Macaca fascicularis: one gene and its partners. The protein of the gene in region 4 interacts with the protein of the main gene of each other region in a pairwise test. Links are inferred from orthologs where the notes say so. Each region holds a gene or a part of one and is shown on either strand. Other genes may lie near its edges.

Region 1 (5,201 bases), on a different chromosome or scaffold from region 4:
TCATGCAACAGATATCTATATCTTTTTCTTCCTGCAAACCTGAAACACTATACCTGTTGAACAACGACCCCTTTTCCCCTCTCCCCAGCCCCTGGTAACTGTTATTCTACTTTCTGTTTCTAAGAGTTTGACTACTTTAGATACCTCCTATAAATGGAATCACTTTTTGTGATTTGCAACTGGCTGATTCCACGTAGCACAAGGTCCTCAAGGTTCATCCATGTTGTAGTTTATGAAGGAATTTTCTGCTTTTTTAAAGGCTAATTGTCCATTACATGTGTATACCACATTTTCTTTATCCATTCATCCATTCTAGTGTCTTTGTTTTTGACTTATGGGTTTCTGGAAGAGACTGATGAGAAAATATATTTTCCATTAACCCAAGAGAAAAAGTGATCCTGAATGCTGGAATTTTTAAGGATGGTTTAGGTTCTAGAGACTAAAAGAGAAATCATAGAAAATGCAAAGGGAAATTAGATTTAAAAAAATTAGTGACCACATAAAGAATGTCTGCTATTATATCTTCTCTGAGCACGAGAAACTACTAAACTACTTTTAACCGAGCAATAAGGGCCCATAATAAAAAGCTGTTACCCTAGTTTTTTACTACCCTACTCAATACCCCTTCTTTCATACCCTCAAAATAGCTCAGTTGAGAAAAGAAACAGTCCAATTTTACAGAAGGGAAAAATAAATAGATAAAAGGATAAGCAAGAACTCTTTTTAACACGGAGTAAGGTACTGGTTAGAATTTTAATACTGTATGGAGGCGTCTAACCCCAGAGTAATCCCTGGCCCATTTTGGTGTTAGTAAGTGGATCCCAGTGTTCGTTTGTATTGAGGTAGTTTGAAGCACGCTAGGGATATTCATAGCCTTTACTTCAGTGCATTATTATGAAAGAATCTAAAGTATCTTTGCATTTACATGATTATGTTTTCAGTTGGTCTGCGGAGCTATTATTAAATGTGTCCATAATGTGTACAGAAAAATCTTCAAGTAAACTAGCATTTAACTCACCAACACATTAAACCCCCATACATAACTTCCTTTAAAAACGATCACACTAAAAATCCCAGCATTTAAAATCCTGAAGTTTTCGCTAAAATACGCTAAATATAGCTCGAAATAGTAAATAATCCCCCCAAGGCGACATTAGCAAATTAATTGGTGTGCGAACAAAGAACCCTTTCTGCAGCGGCATGAATGTTGCCTTTATTTTTTCTCACAAGTATGATTTTAGAAAACAGCAGTAGCGCATGTTGACAAATGACAAAGCGGCAGTCGTGGTAAAGCACTTTCGGTCAAAGCCAAGAGGGGGGAAAATCGGGTTGCTGGGGCGGCACTCGTGCTGGAATCCCTAGCTTCCCTAACCTCCTTTTTCCAGTCCGGAGTGAGCGGGGGCCCCATCGCCCCACCCCCCTTTCCTGGCTCTGGTTACGGCCTTGCGAGTTGAACAAACTTGCTGCAGGCGGATTGGCGGTCGGGAGCTCTCGGGCTGGGGCGTTGTATTTATTAATTTATATTCCGCGGCGCCCCGCGCGGGCCACTCCTTTGTGTCCGGCCGCCGCCGCGGGAGCTCCGGGGCCTCGGCGGGGAGCGCGTTCCCTGTGTCCGCCCGACCCCCGGGGCCGGCACGTGCTTCGCCCGGTCCGCCGAGGGGGCGGAGGCCCCGATCTCCCCGACCCCCCTTCTCTGCCTAGAGGAGGAGGAGCAGCGGCAGCAGCAGCAGCAGGAGGCGATAGCTGCCAGCCGAGGAGGCGCGGCGGAGAGGGGACTGCGGTCAGCTGCGTCCACTCGGGGCTGCGCGGCAGTCCCGCGCCCGGCGATGTTCCCGGGCAGTCTCTGAGTAGCAGCAGCTTGCCCCCCGCCCGCTAGCCCACCCTGGTGTCCGGCTCGCTTGCTGGCTGGCGCGGCCCCGGCCCCGCTCTGCGTCGGCCCCGCCGCGGTGGAGGCGCGCGAGAGGGACGCGGCCGGGGATGAGCGGATTGCGGGTGAACTCGCCGCCCGGGGGCCCCGCGAGGCCGTAAGCCGCTGCTTTTCTCCGAGTCGCCGCCCTGCCCTTGGATTTGAGATCATGTACGTACGCGCCGCCGTCCTGCCATTGTCTCTCTCCAGCGCGTGCCGTGCGCCCCAGGGACGGGGGCTGGTGCCCATCCTAGCCGCGCGCTGTCCCCCGCACTTCCTGTTCCGAAGAGAGACCCGCGCGCTGACCGTGCTTCCCTTCTCCCCTCGCCCCCTCTCTGTCCGTGCAGGTCCATCCACATCGTGGCGCTGGGGAACGAGGGGGACGCGTTCCACCAGGACAACCGGCCGTCGGGTCTCATCCGCACTTACCTGGGGAGAAGCCCTCTGGTCTCGGGGGACGAGAGCAGCTTGTTGCTGAACGCGGCCAGCACGGTCGCGCGTCCAGTGTTCACCGAGTATCAGGCCAGTGCGTTTGGGAATGTCAAACTGGTGGTCCACGACTGTCCCGTCTGGGTAAGGAACAGCAGCTGCTCCACGCCAAGGCTGAAGAAGCTTTTCTTTCCTTTTTTGCCCCCTCCCCCTTCTGCCCACTTCCGTGAGTGTGGAGTGTTCGCGTTACATGGGTCAAATTTTCAAACATTTTTGAGAAAATATTCGGTCCTTTGTTTCACTGGGCAGGGCACAGCCCCGTCAGAGAAGACTCTTAGGAAGATAGAAGGCCCCAGTGGGAATGTGGAGCACTTACTGGTACACTTCACGACTGTGGGTTGTCCCTTGGGAGGCAGCTGACAGTTGAATGTGCCAACTCCAAGGGACGGGGTCACTAAGTTTCACCAGCAGAAAGCAGTGTTTTTTTATGCCTACCCTATGGGTGATAGTGTAATATTGGTGTTCTAAAAATATAGCCTTCTCAAAGCTCAACACAGGCAAAAATACTTTTCATTGGGACAGTTCAGAAATAGTTCCTCTGGAAAGCGGAGGAAAAGACAGGGACTGGGAGTTAATTTTAAATGACTCATTTATAGCACTATTAATTGATCTCTGAAAACTTTTAATTTTAATAATGCAAATACTCTTTATGTATTAGCCATTTGTCTTAGTGACTCATAAATCAGAAATAATATTACTAATGTTGCTTGGAAAACTTAAAAAATTAAAATTTGTAATAATTGAACAAAATTGTAGTGAAGTGGATAAATTGTAGCCCGATTCTTGAGTGTTTGATTAAGGGAGAAAGGAATTTACTTTCTGACACATATAAGTATTTTCAGTATACAATAACATTATGTTTGAATGTTTTCCTTTGGTCTTATTTGAAAATCTCTGACTCTTTACTGATATTGGAGTTACGTATGTTTCAGCTAAGTTTACATTTAATAACAGAAGAAAGTTTAGTGCCTGAAAAAATACGAATTGTCATTGTGTGAGATTTCACATTTAAACAGCAATTTTAAAAACTGAATCAGGGCTATAGGAAACTATCATGCCTTTCTAAAAAATGTGTAGAGTGTACTTGGAAAAATTTTTTATGCAAAATTCCATGTAACAGAAAGAAGATCACTCGCTTGTGTAAGTTTTCAGTTAAAGAAGAAAGTTTGTTAATTTGGTAAAATAAAAAACAGACCTTTTCAGTTAAGAGATGCTATTAAACCCCTAGTTATGACAGTGATGACGCTGGTCATAAGAAGTGTGATGGAGAGCTTACTGACCAGAGTCTATGCAGGCAAATGAAACACTTCTTTTACTTGGACTCTTTCGTCGTGAAAGATCTTACAGCCTAAAAACATAACGGTTCAACATGCAGTTGAACAAATGTTTGGTGAATAGAGTAAACGTAGGGAAAATAAAATTAGCTACATTAGGATGTTAGGATTGCTTTCCCTATATTTAATTTGAGCTGTTAACACTTTCCTGTTTATATTGTTAATTTTGCAAACAGCAATGCTTGTGATCCCATACACTTTGTCTAGTAAAATGAAATCTTCCAAATGGAGAAAATAAGCCTCTATGGTACGGATTTTTCCCATATGCTGGTTGTTATGGTTTATTTTGCTAATCACTTTTTGTTTGGTTAGACTCTGGCCCTATTTAAGGCACCAAGTTTGTAACCCGGTACAATTTGCTGGGCTATAATGATCTTCAGATATGAGATTCCATTTCTAGAGTTGCTCTTTATAAGGTGCTTTTCTTCACTTGGTGGTAAGTAAAGCCCATCAGAGATACTAAAGCTGATTGCATTAATAAACTGTTATTTGATATATTACGGAATCAGAATATTACATAGAGCAGATAAAGCACAGCCTTTGATATCAAAAGGATCTGATTTCAGATTCTCACATTGCCATTTCAGGTCTGCGTGTCCTTGTTAAATCACTTACCTTCTCAGCCTTATTTTCCCTATCTATAAAATAATCTGCCTCCTAGAGCTGTGCTGAGAAGTGAATGAGAAACTAGCACGCATCACGTTCTAAGTATAGAGGCTGACATTTAGTAGCTGCTCTATAAGTGGTAGCTAATATAAAAATAAAGTGTTTGTTATAACTTTAGTATAGTTATGTATCACTTGTATTAATACTAAGCAAAAGTAAGATTTTCGCAGGTCATTCAAGATGTATACAACTACAGTACCAGTACACTGGGGCAGCGATGTTCATTCTTCATACATGCAGCCCCACATTCAAGTAAAATAAAATAGTTTCACTGTAGAAATTCAGATTTTTTTTTTTAAAGATGAGTTCAATTCTCCAAATGTGGCTCCAAGCCTTGTGTTGCATAACCCCCTAGAGGAAATCCTGGAACTGATTTACAAGTGGTAGGAGAATTTGATTTCCTTCATAATTCTGGAAATCTTTGGAGTATTTTCTCTTTGACATAGTTTGAGAAGAGATGTGTTGTTGTTGCCTTGAAGTTTATTTTTTTTATTTATTTATTTTTTTTTTTGAGACGGAGTCTCACGCTGTTGCCCAGGCTGGAGTGCAGTGGCGCGATCTCGGCTCACTGCAAGCTCCGCCTCCCAGGTTCCCGCCATTCTCCTGCCTCAGCCTCCTGAGTAGCTGGGACTACAGGCGCCCGCCACCGCGCCCGGCTAATTTTTTGTATTTTTAGTAGAGACGGGGTTTCACTGTGGTCTCGATCTCCTGACCTTGTGATCCGCCCGCCTCGGCCTCCCAAAGTGCTGGGATTACAGGCTTGAGCCACCGCGCCCGGCCAGCCTTGAAGTTTAAATGAGATATCT
Region 2 (3,171 bases), on a different chromosome or scaffold from region 4:
GCAAATTTCTTTACATATGTTTCTCTATTCTGTGTCATTTCACCATGGCGCCTTTATTTTGAAAACTTTGAAGAGAATTTCAGTTTTAGGATACCCTTTTAACATTTCAGAAAGCCATAGGAGTTGGAGGAAATTTTTTAAAATCCATCCCCTAAAGTATTTATCCTTTGAGTTACCAACAGTCTAATTATACTCAAGACCTTTTAAAATGTACAATTAAGTTGTTATTGACTATAGTCACCCTATTGTGCTATCTAATAGTAGGTCTTATTCATTATTTCTAAGTATTTTTGCTGGGGTGGGGAGTTGAGGATGTTCAGTAAGTACAAAAAATAGAAAGTTTTAAAAATGATACTTTAATGAACAGATGAACAGATCTTTAATGATATTTAATGAACAGATACTTCAATGAACAGATCAGTAGGCAGTGGTTAGAAATTACCTCAGAATAAATGAGCACAGGATAGACATAGAAGAACATCAGGAAAGACGTTATAGTGAATACAAAGAAGAGGTAGAAAAAAAAGCATTGAGAAAAGTGGATGGAAGGCAGAGGGGGTTGGGGAAATGTATGCAATAAACTTCTACCTGGCTGTTTCTATAGATGTTGAGAAAATGGGAAGAAAAATGAAAGCTGATGAGAATGGAAATAGAGGTCATATATATACTACTGAAAAAGGATAAAGAAAGAAATTGACTGGAGTGTGCAAAACAGAGGCAGATGCAATCTGCAATTTTACTAGGACTTTGAATAAAACCAATTATAAAGGCGAGTGTTAGGACTTGAATGGAAAACTGAACTACCGCTCTGATAAGCCTGCATAGGAGATGGATTTTGTGCCCTCAATTTCTGAAATTAATTCTTACATATTTTGCAACCAAAAGGTTCTGAAGCTGGTATACAAAGCCAAAAATAGTATAAAAGTTATTGTGAATAAAATGCTAAAAATCAACATATGCTTTTTTTGAGTCGTTTGGCTATTGTACACAGCAGGGCATTAAAATCATTTTGATTTCAAATGTTTTCCTGTATTGTGAATATAGGCATTTTCTGAAGACTTCACCTTGATAAATAAGTTTGCTTTTTAAAACTACAGATTTAACATCTGTAAATTGAAAAAATAGCTGTAAATTCAGTTGAATATGAAGTTATCAGTTTGGAAGATGATGGACAAAGGAAATGATTCATTATAAAAGAAATACCATAAAGTGTAGATGATGTAATACACCTGGTAATAGGCAATTCTGTTGAGCATTTGGGATGTGCATATTTTGAACAGTCAGCCATTTCTTCTCATAAAAGCAAAGCAGTAAGTTCAATCGTGTCCTGAATAAGACATTAAGTAAGCTGAAATATTTTAATGAGAATGAGGGCCTCTCCCTGCATGAGAAGACAATAGATAAATGAGTTGTAACATCAAACGTAATACAAATAACTACAGCAAAGGAGGGTATACAGATGACTCATCACATGCTCTGACCAGGGTATATAAGCCTCTTACACATGCTGGCATTTACACTGAGGATCTTGCCTTGAGCAGCAAACCAACTCACCACTCCTGACACCATGAACTACTACGGCAACTACTATGGAGGCCTGGGCTACGGCTATGGAGGCTTCGATGACCTGGGCTATGGCTATGGCTGTGGATGTGGCGGCTTCCGCAGACTGGGCTATGGCTGTGGCTATGGAGGCTATGGATACGGCTCTGGCTTCGGGGGCTATGGATACCGCAGCTGCCGCCCGTCATTCTACGGAGGATATGGATTCTCTGGATTTTACTGAAATCCTTCCCTGACAACCTAACATGAGAGGCCATAAGATCACCCAAACCTGACTGCAATAACAAAAGGACGAGGTCACCCTGGATCAAGCCGAGATCAAGAGCACTTAGCATCTGAGAGTTTTAAGAATACCTATCATTCCATAATTCTTTGCTTTATGTCTCTGGATGTGTCTTACTTGTACCTTTATAGCTGTGGGGCTTCTCTCTTCCTTTTGGAATAAAGTATGTTGACTTAAAGCAAATACATGGCTTTTATTTTTTGCTTGACTCAAAATGGCAAAGTGGTTATTTATAATTATATCCAGTGAAAAAAGAACAAACTATATACATATAGAAGTATATTATATATAATAAAATAATTTTGTATATACATGCACCTATCTATATAGCTGTATGTATGTGTGTGCATGTATATATCCGCATTCAAAGGTCACAGTTGACCCTTGAATAATGTAGGGGTTGGGGTACTGATTCCTCCATGCAGTTGAAAATCCACATATAACTTTTGACTCTCCAGACACCTAACTACTGGTAGCCAACTGTTGACTGGAAGTCTCACTGATAACATAAACAGTTGATTAACACATACTTTGTATTTTATATGCATTATACACTGTATTCTTACAATAAAGTAAATAAGAGAAAAGAAAATGTTATTAAAATAGTAAGGAAGAGAATTTATATTTACTGTTTGTCAAGTGGAAGCAGCTCATCATTCAGGTCTTTATCCTCATTGTCTTCACATTGGATAGGTTGAGGAGGAGGCGGAAGAGGAGGAAGGGGGACGTTGGTCTTGCTGTCTCAGGAGTGGCAGAGGTAGAACAAAATCTGAGTATGAGTGGATTCACTCAGTCCAAGCCCATGTTGTCCAAAGTAAGCTGTACATGCACAAATTAAAACCATAACACTCAATTAAAAAGAATCTTTTTTCTTTGGACTACTGTGCCGTATTGACCATATCTTTTTCATTTCAATGCTTTCAGTTAGATGTTAGTGTTTAAATTCAGCCCTGAAATACCAACTTTATAAACTTTCAAATCTCAATGGAGACCAACATGAAGAGTATGTACTTCCATAGTTTGTTCAAAATGTATGTTTATTTGGCCCTTTCAATGGTAAGAAATGTAATGATAAGACAAAGTATGTATCTGAAAATACACTGAAAATGAACTTCTTTTTGTGACTTTCATGTTTTATTCCTGGTCCGTTGTGGTGTGACACGAAGTTGCTTTCTCATATTATCAGCACATTTAAATATTTTGCAATACACCAAGGAAATATAGAAATCACTGCCATAACTTGTGAAGTAATTCATATTAAGGCTGTGACTGACCTGAAGCTTTATACACTCTAGCCAAGCCTCTTTTAACCTCCAACAAGCAAA
Region 3 (5,191 bases), on a different chromosome or scaffold from region 4:
TTTTAAAACATGCCTTTCAAATACTCATGAAAGCTGTATAACTCTACCATTTCACAAACTATTTCTTCTTACCAAGTGATGAGGGCAAATGCAAATGTAGCTGATATGCAAAGTATGGTCTTATCTCTGTAATTTTTGTTTGTGCCAAAAACAAATTACTATCATTTTATAGAATATTTTCTTTTGTTTACATATCATTTTACTGTGTGAATTGATAAGGGGTCTGTGATTCATCATGAAAATATTTTCAGTCTATAATCCTAAAAGATCACTAGCAAGTGAAGCATTAATAAGGAGCTTCATCCCACTTAAAGAAATACCAGTTTTCTTAGATTGTTCAAATTGATTACAAATGAGTTCCATCGAATGGAAATTGGATGACATCGTATGGGCAGTTTTGAAGTCACTTCAGTAGACAGCCTTCCTAATCATTATTGCCTGAGAATCAGACGCTAATGGAGTACAATGTGCTTTCTATCCCCTATCTGAGACTTTAATTCTGTGAATCTTTTTTGTAAAGTTCAAGTTTGTGGTGATTTAAGTTTATATGAGTATATCAATAACAATAGCTGCAACAAGATGAAGTTAGTAATTACTTCCTAAACATAATATATACTTAAATATAAAAAGTTTGAGGTATCATATATTATTATTGTCTAAAAAGATGATTTATTAAAAATCAAATAAGAAGGTATGACACTGTATATACTCTTTTAGAAAAATAAGGTTAATTTATTTCTTTAAATATTTTAGTCAAAGCCACTGTATCATCTCTATATTTCCTATTAAAACACTCGAGTTAATCATATCGGTTATGATTATTAGAGAAGCATGTTATAAAGGAAACAGTTTCATAACCCTCCACTTCCCGTTCCATCCTACATACTTCTGTTGGATTGATCATGGAATTACAGAATTTTAGAAATCTCTAAGTTCAAACCCTAGTTTTACAGGTAAAAAAATGTAAAGCCCAGGAAAGGGAAATCACTTGATCAAAGTTACAGAGGTAGAGAACTCTGGTCTAGAACTCAGTCCTCCAAAAAATGTATAGTCATACACTTTCTAGTCCGAAAACAATCAATTGTTTTCTGTTGTTTATAAAGCCATGCCTAGCTTTTTCACCCATCATTAACTTAAAGGTGTTTACTTTTTCTGCTCTAAACTTTCCTTCCAATCTTGTATTTCTCTTCTCATACAAGATTCCAATCAAATGTTCATGGTGATTCTCAAGACTTTCTCCTCTACTTGAAATACTTCTCTCCCTATTAAACCCTGCATAGGCAAGCCTCGCCTGTATGTCATTTTCCCACACAAAGACTGCTGCTTCTCTTAACTGAAACTTTTTTAGTAGAAAACCACTTTTGTGGCATTTTCTACTTTTTTCCCTCTTACAGTTATTCGTGTATATTTCAACACTCTTCCTAAAATTGATGCTACTCATTGCATCATATTTACCTTGATAATCTTAACATTTGACATAGTAATGATAATTTTATAATTCCATTAATGCTGTCAAAAATTAAATTCAGAAATTTTTTTACTCCAAGTTTGAGTTTTTACATTCTTTTGTTAAAATAAATTTTTCCACATTGGCTAAATCTACTTGTAAATCTGGCTTTTTTTCTTAATCAAAGCAAACATTGTATTCAAGTCACTCCTAAAATTCTAGTAACAAATTATTCTAAATTAATTTTTTAAATGTATCTTTAGGTGCAATAATGAAGAGTTTTCTTCTAGTTGTGAATGTCCTGGCATTAACCCTGCCTTTTTTGGTAAGTTAATTTCATCTAACCAGTTTGTACTGACTTTAAGAAATTTTTATTTAAGGGCTCTAACTATTCAAATTTCTTAATACAGTTATACCTCATAGACCAAAATATCTACAAACTTGTTATATTTAAGGTTAATTTTTTAAATATTATTTCTATTATAAAATCAAAGTCATGTTCTTTTGGATATCCATTTAGTTCTGTGAATTAAGAAATCATAGTTAATCATATATAGGAAACTTTTAAAATTCTCATACTATAGAGAAAATACATTCTGTGGGGAAAACAATACTGAAAACATTTTAAAATTATAAATGCATTAAAGATAATTCAGAAAGAATAACTACAGAAATCATAGTCCGGGAATCAGAAATTATTTTAATTAAGTTCGTATCTCACCCAGACTCCAATGTCTTTATGGAAACAAAATCCTTCAAAGGTCAACTTTGGTTAAGCTTTTTCACAAGTTTCAAAGACCTTGATACTTCTGCCTTTAATATTCGAATCATTATCTTTTGCTACATTCTTCTCCATTATGTCAATTGACTGACCCCTTTCCAGGGATCCGTGGCCATAAACAGCTTGAAGGTTTGCAGGCATTATCTTGAATTATGTGCAATGTTTTAAGGCTACTGGACCTAGAAAAAGTTCTGTTTTTGTCTTTTAATTTTTTGACTTGTTTTTATTGTTGTTTTGGCTATTGCCTCTTTTTATTTTCATGTTCATCTGGGGATTCTAGGCACTCACAAAGGAGGCAAGCATAATAATGGTATATGTCCACCTCCTGGATTGTAAAATTTTGGGGAGCACTAGTCCTTGTTCTGTAAATCTCTGTAATATTTATTTATTATTAAGTTTAGACTTGCTTTTAAGTTAACATCTATTAATTAATTCTATTATCTGCATGTTGTGCCTATGTATAACATGTCTATTAACTCTATTAGGTCAATTCTTGGAGTCAAAATTACCTTTTAAAACTTTGAGTTCTACAACTCAGATACTTTGTGGCCACCTGAACATTTAGAAGTTAGGTTTTCTCTTTGAGTAATAGGGCTTAAAGTTTAAATCATAAAATGATCCACAAATCCCTGCTGCATAGCAACCTGTTCCTGAGCTACCTGAGCCAGATTTGTCTTTCAAACATTCCTTCCCATTTTCACAAAGGCTTCAGGCCTCAGGGACATGAACAAATATACAGAAAAAAATAATTTAAGTTTATTGATTTTTACCATTCAATCTTATGAGCAGTCAAATTTATACAAATTAAAACATCAATGTGATACCATCTTTTATGTACTATTTTATCCCTTCGCCCAAAATGAAAAGAGTTAGATAATATTTTACTAGCAATTATGTACTAAACTGCATAAATACATAGCCTATTGGTGACATTTTAATTTGGCACAAATTTTCTGTACCACAATTTGATAATTTCTATCAAAGAATCGCTGAAAACTAATGACATTTGTGAAAAATCTTTTTAAGGTATTAATGAAAATTATTAAAAAGGCCACTGGTATACAGATGTTAATCATCTGTCTGTTTATAATTAAAATTTTATCTTAATAGATAACAATAAGAAATAAACATTTCATGACATAATCATTGACAACTTAGTTATCAACTATAAAAATGTAGGTATGAAACCTATGATATAAATTTAAAAAAATGAGATACCACATTTCTTATAAAAACGCAGGATACTTTTTAGACAAGCATATACCAGGAATACATAGCATAGGTTGATATTGCATTAAGGTATCCAGATTGTCAGAATTTTTTAAAGTATACTTTCTATAATATTCATATTACTTCTTTTTTTTTTTTTTTTTTTTTTTTTTTGAGACAGAGTCTCACTCTGTCACCCAGGCTGGAGTGCAGTGGTACGATCTTGGCTTACTGCAACCTCTGCCTCCCAGGATCAAGCAATTCTCCTGCCTCAGCCTCCTGAGTAGCTGGGACTACAAGCTCCCGCCACCATGCCCAGTTTATTTTTGTATTTTTAGTAGAGGCAGGGTTTCACCATGTTGGCCAAGCTGGTCTTGAACTCCTGACCTCAGATGATCCACCCACCTCTGCCTCCCAAGGTGCTGGGATTACACAGTGAGACACCATGCCCAGACTCATATTACTTCTTTACATTTTAAACCAATGATTTAATATATTTAAAGAAAAGCAAGTCTTTGTCTTAAAGCAAGGAAACTTTATTACCTTCTCAAATTTCTGATTTTCTATACTCACACCTTCCAAAAGGTTTCTAGAGTCATTTTATACCCAACGAATACATGTGTAAAAACATGTCCTAAACCAGAACTGCCAATTTAAAACTATTTAATATTATACCTCCTTTCAAAAGTTTCTAAAAGCTTTGGAGTTTTTAGTTTTATAAATACATGTCCATAAAATTGTGTTCTCACTCCTGATTCTCTAAATATGTCACAATTCAAAACTAAGAAAAGCACTATAAAAACAAATGAAAGATGGTATTTAAAACACATATTTATATGTTAAGGTTATGCAAGAGGCAATATTTTAAATCATCTAAGTAAACCTTATGAATCATCTTAGTATGAGAGCAGAGAAAGGAAAAAAGGCTCAATACTCCTCTAATTTTTAACAATGTATATTTAATAAAAACTGAATAGAAATTATTCATACTTTTCATTTAAGTGTATTGTGTATTTGCTGGCACAGCGGTCAGATGAATAGATTTTTCCCACAGTGACTTTTTCATTCTAGGTGGTTATATTTAAAGACAATATAAACATGAAGTTTATTATTACTAATCAGTTACACTACTGTTGCTTCTTAAGTAGTCCAACAAGCCTCATAGATCAATCATGAAAAATGTTTTAAAAAATAAAAAAAAAACATATTTTGCCTTTAACGCAAAATTTTATTTAACTGATTTAAGTCTTCCTTTTTTTTTTCTTACTTCTTCTGGAACTCCCTAGGCTGCAGAGGTTCAAAACCAGAAACAACCAGCAGTAAGTCTATTTCAGTTATTTCTATTAGAGGCATGAACTGCAAAATATATTCTGTAAAGGTCAGTCATACTACAGATGCCTTCTGTCTAAAACTTAAATATTTCATCTCATTAAATAATCTAATAATATTTCCAAAATTCATTTCAGCAAAAGGTGATATGAATCAACATTGACGTTCTAGCTGAAAGTTTTGTTTTCTTATATAACCTGTCATGTATCTTTGGTTTTCAGGTATATTTCACAATATGAGAAAACTCTTTCAGCATTTCATATTGGAAAAAAATGAAAACATAAGTAAAGCTTAATATTTCCCCTTTCCACTTTTTAAGACAAGGAAAGGTCCTTCTCTGACCCCTCCTAGAATACTTCTCATACATCTATATTTACTTCCCCTTTTGTTCCCCACATATGTTTGAATACATTAAATATATCTCA
Region 4 (4,485 bases):
AAAAGTTTTGGGGGATGGGAAGGATGCAGAGACACTGGGCCTGGAATGGCTCCTTAGATGGTGGGAAGGAATAAAGTGACTCTGTTGACCTTGGGTCACATGCACTGTAGACTTAGGGAAAGTCCTGAATGGCAGAGTTACTAATGACTATCAAATCACCTTTTGCTGACTCCCGTGGCAGTCCTGGATAGCGTCCTTGGCATACTTGATTTCAGATTTTGACAGGTGATAAAAGCACATCTTGAGATTGCTGCTTCACAGGGCCCAGATTCCTTGCTATTGACTGATGTTATTTTTGCCTTTCCTGAGAAGCTCCCTCATGTGTTTGCTGTTACTTTTAATGGATTGCTTCCTGATACATAGGAGGCCCAGGCACTTGCCCTTCAATCGGGCCAACTGCAGCCTGACCTGGGTGGAATTGGAGCTGCCTGAGGAACACTTAGACCAGGCGCTTGGCAACATGACTCACTTTTTCCCCCTAAAAGTTAGTCTGTAAAGAGCAACTGGAAATGTTTACATCTTTGTGGAGTGTAATTTTAATCAGGATTCTCAAGGTTTTTCACCTCAATTCTCTGAATTTTTAAGATCTTAAATGCCCTGTGGTCACAGTATTTGGCCCTGTACTTCTGGGGGCTACATGGAAAATGCTTGATGATCATGACTGACTTGTCAATAGTAATTATGCCAATAAACAGAAAAGCCTTCCAGTTCTGGTCTGTTGAGGCCCTGCCGTTAGGCCATTGTTTTCCCAAAGGCTCTGCGGTGGGTTCTCATGGGATATCTTTCATTGGTTCTTTCTCTCCCTTTTCCTCAGAGGGCCACATTTTCTGTTTTGTGCAGGAAATTCCCACTGTTTTGGGTTCCCCAGCTACAGTTGGAAAGACATCAGAGTGTTCAAGGCGGAGTCCAGGCCTGAGATCTCAGCAGGCCAGACAGACAGCAGATGCTTGTTACTTTTCTTGTTATATTTTTCGTTCCTTGCTTAGCACTTATGGGACCAAAGCCAACAAACAACAGGTTGTGAAAAGAATGAGAGTCATTTGGCTTCTGACATTGATTGGGGCTCGGGGTTTTTGGGTGTTTTGTTTTCTGATTTGAAACTAGCTGTTTGGTAACCACTAACTCTCGCCTTATTCTTTTCTTGCAGATGAGCTCACAGTGCCTGCACTTTACCCCAGTAGCCCTGAAGTGTGGGCCCCGTACCCTCTGTACCCAGCGGAGTTAGCGCCTGCTCTACCTCCTCCTGCTTTCACCTATCCCGCTTCACTGCATGCCCAGGTAATTGATACCCATCGGCCACGACTTCACTCACTCCACCTCCAGTCCTTTCAAACTTGGTTCCCCAGAGCACACCATACAACTAACACCTATCCAGCTAACAGATCCACCTTCAAGAGATTAATGATCCCCTCTAAATCAAGCTGACACTCCTTCAGGACTTACGAGGATCGTCTGACAGCAATGATATCACCCACTGCCTGATGTTTGCCCCAAATGACACCTCTCTCTTCCTTAATGATCTCACCTCATATCGCACATGAGAGACTGGGGCAAGTTTATCCACTTGGCTCCCAGCTAGCTAGAGGGCATCACCGGAGCGTACACGTGTGTGCCTTGTGTGGAAGGGCTACAGAGGAAGGTGTGTGCTGGGAGCAGGGGATATGTGCGTCTGTGCGTGTTTCTGTGTGTTGAGAGTTTTCCACTCTCGTGTACTGTGAGAAGAATCTCTGACCAAAGGGAAAGCTTCCATGGGCGAAGGCTATACTTTCTTAAATATGTTACAGGAAAGATTAAGGGTTCCTTTTCTCCATTTTCAGGAAACCCTGTAGAAAAGGAGGTACAGGATAGTGTCTAAGATGGAATTACAGGTCAAGGTAGAGATCTCTATTCTGACCAGCTTGCTTTCTTAGTTAAAAATAGCCTGATTTTTATAAACAAACTTCCTGTTTCTCCACAAAGGTTACTATCTACATACTAACACTTCCTCTCCCCTTGGAGAAAATATTCTCTTAGCTGTGCTTTTAGCGCAAGTAGTAGTAATCAGTGTAAAGATTCACCTTTGGAGATCACTCATTCTTTGGCCTGCAAAGATTGATGACCAGTAACAAATAGAAAGTACGTATGTAGGTTTCATTTATCTTTCTGCATGTGTAATTCAGCCTTTAAATTTTAGATTTTCAAAAATGATTAGGCTGGACAGGCAGAGTTTTCATTTGCTTGTTTTGCTCAGTGTTTGTTTTCAAGGCTGGATGAAATAAACAGCTTCCCAGAAAACTTCCTTCTGACTTAAAACTCTTTTATGTTGTACAGAATTCACTGTCTTGATAAAGACCACCTAGAAGCAGCCCTCGGTGAGGGTTCTCGAAAGTCATGGGGTCAAGATTGTTGTTGGCTGAACATCTTTTAATTCTTTTCGCTGAGTTACCAACACATTGTGCGTGCATTGACGACCCGGCTTCCTGGGCTGCCTTTGGTGCCTGAGCCCCAGTAATGATTGCCCTCTGTGTTGGGAGAAGAAGGGAGAAAGTAGTACAAGTAGTGAAGAAAAAAATGTAGGTGGTGGTGGTGGTGAGAGTACATGGCACAGAAAATAAAGGAGCCAGGATTACTTGTGCCTTTGGCTTCTCCTTCCCCTGCTGCTTTTTCTTCCTTTTTCCATGTCAATGCTTGAGAACCCTCACAACTGGCAGGTAACGGGGTGAGGGGATAAAATGTAAACCTGTGGGTTTCTCTGCTGAGTCATTAGGATCTTTGTAGCAGGCTGCGGATAAATGTGTGGATGACATGGGACAACTAAGAGCCCCTTTTGCTTGCCACCTCCCACCCCTGCTCTGGATGGTGTCTCCTCTTGCTAGACTGCCGGGTACAGATCACGTGGCAGTTAAGGCAAATGTTAATAAATACCGTGAAACAGTGGTTTGCATAGTCTTCTGAATAGCCATATCAAGAGTTGACAACGGCCAGAAAGTACTGGGAATGGTGGCTTTTGGATATGACATCTGCCCATTCTTCATTCATGTAATGGGTAAAATCAGAAGTAATTCTGGAGATACGGTATGGTAAGAGAAGGGCCTAAAGAGTCTCAAGAGATTAGAAAGCACATGCCATTGTAAGGAAGGATGGGGAGAGACAGTGCCAAGATTAGATGGACTCAGCCATTTGACTTAATGGGTTGTATTGCCCATGGTGGCACCCTCCCCTGGGAGTTCTTGATCTTGAGACTTTCCCAAACTGGAATCCACTTAGCTCTGCCACATCGGTCCCAGATTTGGTGGGACTCTCATCTGATACCAGTTTTCAACGCCACTTCTTGTTTGGAGTCATTCCCAGTGCAGGCATGGACTCTGTGAACACATTCCGTTATTTAAATTTATTTGTGCAGTATGAGAATCAGAATGAGCTAGTAGAGGCTCTACAGATCAGCTGGTCTGACCCATTTGACAGATGAGGAAACAGGCCTGAGAAGATGGAGGGAGCTGCCCACAATCTGTGGCTCTGCCATGACTAGACCCAGGTCACCTGCCTCCCAGGCCTGACTCTTTCCACTCCGAGGTGTTGGCTCACCACAGACTTATTCTTTAATGGAATTTTGGAAAGGCCTCACTCCAGTGACTCCTTGGATCTTTCTTCTCTAAGTAGATGGGAAGCCTGTAAGAAGAGACTTGGAGGCAAAGCAAAGGGAATCAGCACTTAACCTTCACCCAAAGGGCCCAAGAGAATCTTTATTAACTGGAGGTAGAGCAGACTGGAGCCTTTACGGGGCATCTCCCCATATTGGATAATTCAGTTTTTGTTTTGGAAATCTTATAATGTCTTTGGAGAGGCTTTAAATAATTTTGTTTTTCTTAGCAATGTTATGCTCTATTTTGAGACATGGATTTTTTTTTTCTTCTAGTGTTTCTCTCCTGAGGCAAAGCCCAACACACCTGTCTTTTGTCCACTTCTCCAGCAAATTAGATTTGTCTCTGGGAATGTGTTTGTAACATACCAACCTACTGCAGACCAGCAGAGGGAGCTCCCATGTTGAATTTGTTAGCTATCTTCCCCCCTTTCGCAAAAACTATTTCTTGACGACCTTTGAGAGATTTCAATAAAAATTTTAATCAGAGCAAAAATGATCTCAAGTAGACTGCAGCGTTTTGTTTTCATGGTGATGCAATGTTGGAGCAAAGGTGTTACTCTCTGACTGAGGTTTTGGGAGAATTGGGCCTGTGACACCAAGTCTATTTTACATAGAAGGACTCAGAACGAGCTTGCTGGAGAGGCCAGGTCCCGGAGCCGAGGTCACACCACTGCTGCTTCTCTCTGCCTGGGCTCCCGGAAGAGCCACCAAGAGCTGCATGTTGGAAGCATCTCATCCACCAGGAGACCTCACTTCAGCAGGGATGCTGCATCTAGCTAGGGGAGCCCTTGTGAAATGTACGGGTGCAGTGTCCAGTCTGCCCACTGGGATCCACAGGAAGGAAGACCAGGAGACAAAGTGTC
Region 5 (4,922 bases), on a different chromosome or scaffold from region 4:
CTTTTCAGGAGAAGCTGAAAACACGGGCTTTTCTGTGAAATCTCTAGATTGAAAAAAGTGGGCTTGAAAAGCCTCAAGCAGAGGGAGTGAGGCCTGCCCCCCATCCCAGCTCTGTGGGCACACCCTGGTCAGACAGCCCTGCTCCAGACCCAGCCTCTGTCTCAGGGTGGCCCAGGAGGGGGCTTTGCAAGGTGACGTGGGGGCTTGGAGGCCCCGTTTCCCTATGAGCCTGGGTGCTTAGGGGATGGCCCTGGTCAGACTCCACCAGGCCCAGACTTGGGGCACAGGAGAAGGGAGATGGGCCACCCAGTTCTGGTTGGGCTGGGGTGGGGCTTCTGAGAGGTGGGGAGGTTGTCCCTTCCCACCCACCTGCCCCAGTATTCTTGGCTGTGAGCAGGAGGATGTGTACAACGGCCAAGTTGCCTGGACTCGGTACGCCCCTCTGGGGGTTGTGAGTGCACAGGGCACTGGTGAGCGGCCCACGGGGGTCACGTGGCCCACGGGGGGCGTGCAGATGAGTCGGAAGGAGCTGGGGCCCACTCCTCCCACTTCCTTCTCTCCCACATCCTCCCCGGCCCCCTCCCAGCTCCCCCCAGTAAATCCCCTCAGGCTCCAAGACCTGGAGGGACGCAGCAGGTTTATAATCTCAGCCTGGAAACCACATGACCTCCCTGTTTCCCACCACAGCCCCCCAGGTTTCAGAAGCAGTTGAGGACGCCCCTCGCAGGGGAGGGAGGGACAGTGAGAAGGGAGGGTGTTCAGGGCCCAGGGAGCCCCCGTAGAGGCTGCCCCATCAGAGCGCACTGGGGACCTGTGGCCTCCTCTGAGATTCTGGCCTGGGCAGTGGTCATTTGAGCATCGGTTACCAAGGCTGCCTCCAAAATGGCAGGCCGGGGTCAGGCCAGCATGAATGGGGCTGGCAGGAGTCCTGCAGGGGCAGCTGTGCTGGGGAGGGGTCACCCTGGGCCCTGAGAGGCACAGGACATGGTGATGGGGTGCTGGCCTACCAGAAGCACAGATACGGAGCTGGAGCCCAGCAAGGCTCCAGGGGCCACTGTCCTGTGCTGTGAGGGGCTGTGCTGTGCCAGGGGAGGCCCCACACCCAGGAAGCCCGGAAGAGAGTGTGCACTCACGGAGCCCTCCTGCCAGGGCTGCATCTCTTGAGCAGCAGACCCCTGTGTCTCCCTGGGAGGTCCACTGTGGCCTCACCACAGCCCTTGTTGGAGGGCACATCCCTGTGTCCTCAGCACCCCAGTGTTGAGCGTGTCGACCTGCAGAGGGGAGCCTGTGCTGGCCCCAGGCATCTGTGTGGCTCGTGGGTGCCCATCTGCACCCCTGGCCCCGCTCTGGGCTTCAGTGGAGCTGTGCCACCGTGGGAGTGTCCAGGGTCCTGACGTAGCCCTGGGACGTGGCCAGCTCCCTGGCCTGCTGCCCGCACAGTGGGCCCTTGTCTCTGCTCTGGGTCAGGCGAGGCAGCCACCCATGATGAGCTCTGCAGCCTTCCCGAGGTGGCCGGTGAGTCCCTGCCCTTGGCACCCCCAGTGCCCTCACCCCTCTACCCTGGTGCTCGGGGCCAGGACCCGCTCCTGAGGGATCTGTCCCGCTGGCCGGCTCCTCTGTCTGGGGGTGCTGGATGAGTCCCACCGCTTGCCAACCCCAGGGTGGCTCCTCAGCTCTCAAACAAGGGGCGGGCTGCATGGATTCCGAGGGCCCCTCCAACAAGAGGTCCCACACGCGTCTCCCAATGGGACAGTTTCCTGGCCCACAGGGTGGGTGTGACACTGAGGGTTCCTGGGGGCAGATTCAGGGCATGGGATGGAGGCAGACGGATTGTGAGAGGCCCAATGCAGGGGGCCGGCGCCAGCCCACAGGGTCGTTCTGCAGATGGGCTGGTCGGGGATGCTCTGCCAGGTGAAGGGTCTGTGGCTGGAGTCTTCACCCTGGCCAGGGCACAGGACGTTCACAGCGCAGGCTGAGGGTCAGAGCCGCCGAGGGCCCCCGCCGGGATCCTGCGCAAAGCTTTGGCCTCTGCACTTTACGTGGGCGCATGTGACTGCCCCTCGCCAAGGTGTTCCTACACCTGACGGGTCCCAGGACAAGAAGTGCTGACTCCAGAGGGTGTGTGCGGAGGGCCTGGGCTGACCTCAGGGCTCTAGGGGGGCCCACACAGGATGGGCTGCGAGGGGTGGGGGTGGGGGGTCTGTGATGGCCCCCTGCCAAGCCAGAGTGAACCCTACAACCGGTCCAGGGGTCCAGGGGCCAGAAGGCCAGGTTCTCCTGGAGGTCCCATCTCCCCTAGGCCTTGGTTTTCCCTTCTGTGACTCCACAGCCCTGAGAAGGGCCCTGTCAGGGAGGGCGGGGGCACTGGTTAATGTCCAGGACACAGCCGTCCCAGTCAAGCCAAACCTCTGAAACATGCTGAACTGGCCGCACTGAGCAGGGCTGGCCTCTGAGACGGAGGGGCCTGCTGAGGACACAGAGGCTCTGTGGAACTCAGGGCCTGGCTGTGGCAAGGATACCCCAAGCCAAGTGTGTGGCAGCCTTGTCCTCTCTGTGGGCCTCAGTTTCCCCTCTGTGCAACGAGGGGAGTGACCAGCTGGTTTCTGGAGCCTCCTTCCCTCCCTCTCTGTCCCCAGGAGCGGGCCTGGGCCTCATGTCTGCAGGGGGTGCTGACGCCGGCTCCTGTGGCCCGGGCCTTGGGGAGGGAGCCAAGTGCCGAGAGAATGTCTTGCTTGTGCCTGCTCAGCCCAGAGGGACACGTGGCGTCTGCACCTGCTTCCCGCTTGGGCACAATTGCCCTTTGAGAGCAGAGCCAGGGGCTTCTTGGGGACAGGAAGCTGCTCTCAGAAGCCGCACACTGGTGGTGGGGGAGCAGCAGGAAGGGGCCGGCCAGCTGTCCTAGCCAAGAGCCTTTCAGGAACCGGCGGCCCAGGGCAGAGGTGGCTGGAGGTGGAGCTGTCTGTTCGGGCCTCAGGTGTAGGGGCAAGGCCTGCCCGGGTTTTGCACGAGTGTTGCGCCTTTACCTGGGTCTCCATCGGTCCCACCTGACTCGTGAGTGTGCGTGGGTCCCCGTTGTAGGCAGGCGTTGTGCCCTGGCCAGGTGCGGTGCTCAGCATCCAGCCATCTCCCTCCTCCCTCCTCCCCTTAGCCTCCCATCCAGGTGCCCCGTGTGCCCAGCCTGGGTGACTGGCCGTGGCTCTGACCGCTCCGAGTCCTGCACGGTGGGTACCAGCGTTCCCACCTGTCTGCAGCTGCGCCACCTCCCCGTGCCGGGCTGTGCGTGCTCACGCACGGCCCGGCCTGGATTTGTGCGGTCAGACAGAGAGACCCCCAGGCAGGTCCCGCCTGCAGCAAGCAGACCCCATATGTGCCCCAAATGCCCGCTCACCCGGCCCCTGCCCTGGTGGGTGTTGTCTGGGAGCCCCACTCAGCTTTGGGGCTTCTGATTCCTGTGGGTGCTTCTCAGGTCAGGGCCTGCAGGTGCAAAGCACCAGGCAGTGGGGTGGGGGCACTATGGGGCCAGCTGCCCTGCAGGCAGGGGTCTGACCGCCGAGCACCTGTCCCCTGCAGGATCCCTGGCTATGGGTGACCCGATGACGTTCAGGAAGTGGGAGTGGGTCCCCTGTCCCCATGGCTCCCAGCAGTCCCTGTGAGCTCACCTCTTTGTGTCTCTGTTTGCTGTGGCCTCTATTCTGGGGACACTGAGCCTCTCCTTGCTTGAGGTTTTGGGTCCTGATTGTCCACATGACCTCCTGCTGGGTGAATTCCGGGATGACCCTGTGTCCTGGGCACATGGCTGGCAGGGTCCCGGGGCTCTCCGGCCAGCCTCCCCTGCACCTCCGCACCAACTAGCCTGGCCGAGGGTCAACTCCCAGAGCCGTGTTGAGAGGGGAAGGTCTGATTCCATAGACATTTGGGGTACAGGGGTTGTGAGGGTGGACTGGGGAGGGGCTGCTCCAGATCTGGGGTGAGGGAGTCAGAAACAGGCCTGACCCCAAGGTGGGTACAGGAAGAGCCCTAGGTGTGGGCAGGAGCTGTCTGCACCTCCTGAGCCCCTTCCCCAATCCAGAGGAGGAGCGAGTGTGGGACTCCCTGGGCCTGCCTTGCTGACCTGTGGCCCTGTACTGACCAGCAGAGCATGGGGGCCCCTCATACCCCTTCACGGACAGTGCTCTTTGAGCGGGAGAGGACCGGCCTGACCTACCGCGTGCCCTCGCTGCTCCCTGTGCCCCCTGGGCCCACCCTGCTGGCCTTTGTGGAGCAGCGGCTCAGCCCCGACGACTCCCATGCCCACCGCCTGGTGCTGAGGAGGGGCACGCGGGCCGGGGGCTCCGTGCGGGTGAGTGGCCGGGCCCACTGGGGCTGCACACCCAGGGACAGGGGCGGGGGTGGCGGTGGCAGGCGGGTGCCCGAGATAGAGATGAGCAAACCAGGCTCAGCTGTCTCGGGTGCCCCACGGGGGGCTGTGCCCAGGTCCCTGGACATCCTAGTCAGTGGCACTTCCTCCTCTGGGCAGTGGGGCGCCCTGCAGGTGCTGGGGACAGCAGCCCTGGCAGAGCACCGGTCCATGAACCCCTGCCCCGTGCACGACACTGGCACAGGCACCGTCTTCCTCTTCTTCATCGCGGTGCTGGGCCACACGCCCGAGGCCGTGCAGATCGCCACGGGAAGGAACGCCGCACGCCTCTGCTACGTGGCCAGCCGTGACGCCGGCCTCTCGTGGGGCAGCGCCCGGGACCTCACCGAGGAGGCCATTGGTGGTGCCGTGCAGGGTAGGCGGGCAGGGTGCCAGTCTGGGTCCCTCGGATTGGCCACGGTCCACATGGAAGGGAGATTCCAGCTGGAAAAGTCCATTCTGCCCCACCACCGCCCCTGCCTCCAGCCATAAGGGAACCAACCAGCCCTCTCCCCAGGACTGTCCT

Evidence for each region.
Region 1: the proteins of RBPMS (region 4) and RHOBTB3 interact in binary tests that used the Homo sapiens proteins (3 or more experiments, as listed by UniProt). The two-hybrid records come from large-scale screens. The link is inferred for Macaca fascicularis from reciprocal best matches to the Homo sapiens genes RBPMS and RHOBTB3.
Region 2: the proteins of RBPMS (region 4) and keratin-associated protein 19-5 interact in binary tests that used the Homo sapiens proteins (3 or more experiments, as listed by UniProt). The two-hybrid records come from large-scale screens. The link is inferred for Macaca fascicularis from reciprocal best matches to the Homo sapiens genes RBPMS and KRTAP19-5.
Region 3: the proteins of RBPMS (region 4) and CSN3 interact in binary tests that used the Homo sapiens proteins (3 or more experiments, as listed by UniProt). The two-hybrid records come from large-scale screens. The link is inferred for Macaca fascicularis from reciprocal best matches to the Homo sapiens genes RBPMS and CSN3.
Region 5: the proteins of RBPMS (region 4) and NEU4 interact in a two-hybrid assay, tested with the Homo sapiens proteins (2 studies listed by BioGRID and IntAct). The two-hybrid records come from large-scale screens. The link is inferred for Macaca fascicularis from reciprocal best matches to the Homo sapiens genes RBPMS and NEU4.

What each region holds. Positions count from the first base shown.
Region 1 is NC_088380.1:99,720,951-99,726,151, forward strand, and holds the start of RHOBTB3 (rho-related BTB domain-containing protein 3), read left to right. Parts: upstream 1-1,728; 5' UTR 1,729-2,075; coding exon 2,076-2,077; intron 2,078-2,253; coding exon 2,254-2,479; intron 2,480-5,201. UniProt on the Homo sapiens protein: Rab9-regulated ATPase required for endosome to Golgi transport. Involved in transport vesicle docking at the Golgi complex, possibly by participating in release M6PRBP1/TIP47 from vesicles to permit their efficient docking and fusion at the Golgi.
Region 2 is NC_088377.1:16,491,757-16,494,927, forward strand, and holds keratin-associated protein 19-5, read left to right. Parts: upstream 1-1,516; 5' UTR 1,517-1,567; coding exon 1,568-1,786; 3' UTR 1,787-1,998; downstream 1,999-3,171. UniProt on the Homo sapiens protein: In the hair cortex, hair keratin intermediate filaments are embedded in an interfilamentous matrix, consisting of hair keratin-associated proteins (KRTAP), which are essential for the formation of a rigid and resistant hair shaft through their extensive disulfide bond cross-linking with abundant cysteine residues of hair keratins.
Region 3 is NC_088379.1:63,740,019-63,745,209, reverse strand, and holds the start of CSN3 (kappa-casein), read left to right. Parts: upstream 1-1,718; coding exon 1,719-1,772; intron 1,773-4,723; coding exon 4,724-4,756; intron 4,757-5,191. UniProt on the Homo sapiens protein: Kappa-casein stabilizes micelle formation, preventing casein precipitation in milk.
Region 4 is NC_088382.1:33,745,446-33,749,930, forward strand, and holds the end of RBPMS (RNA-binding protein with multiple splicing), read left to right. Parts: intron 1-1,147; coding exon 1,148-1,278; coding exon of another isoform or gene 1,279-1,425; exon of another isoform or gene 1,426-2,278; intron 2,279-3,895; coding exon 3,896-4,027; 3' UTR 4,028-4,115; downstream 4,116-4,485.
Region 5 is NC_088386.1:137,747,122-137,752,043, forward strand, and holds the start of NEU4 (sialidase-4), read left to right. Parts: upstream 1-1,449; 5' UTR 1,450-1,482; coding exon 1,483-1,515; intron 1,516-1,948; exon of another isoform or gene 1,949-2,118; intron 2,119-2,636; exon of another isoform or gene 2,637-3,221; intron 3,222-4,132; coding exon 4,133-4,339; intron 4,340-4,516; coding exon 4,517-4,772; intron 4,773-4,922. UniProt on the Homo sapiens protein: Exo-alpha-sialidase that catalyzes the hydrolytic cleavage of the terminal sialic acid (N-acetylneuraminic acid, Neu5Ac) of a glycan moiety in the catabolism of glycolipids, glycoproteins and oligosacharides.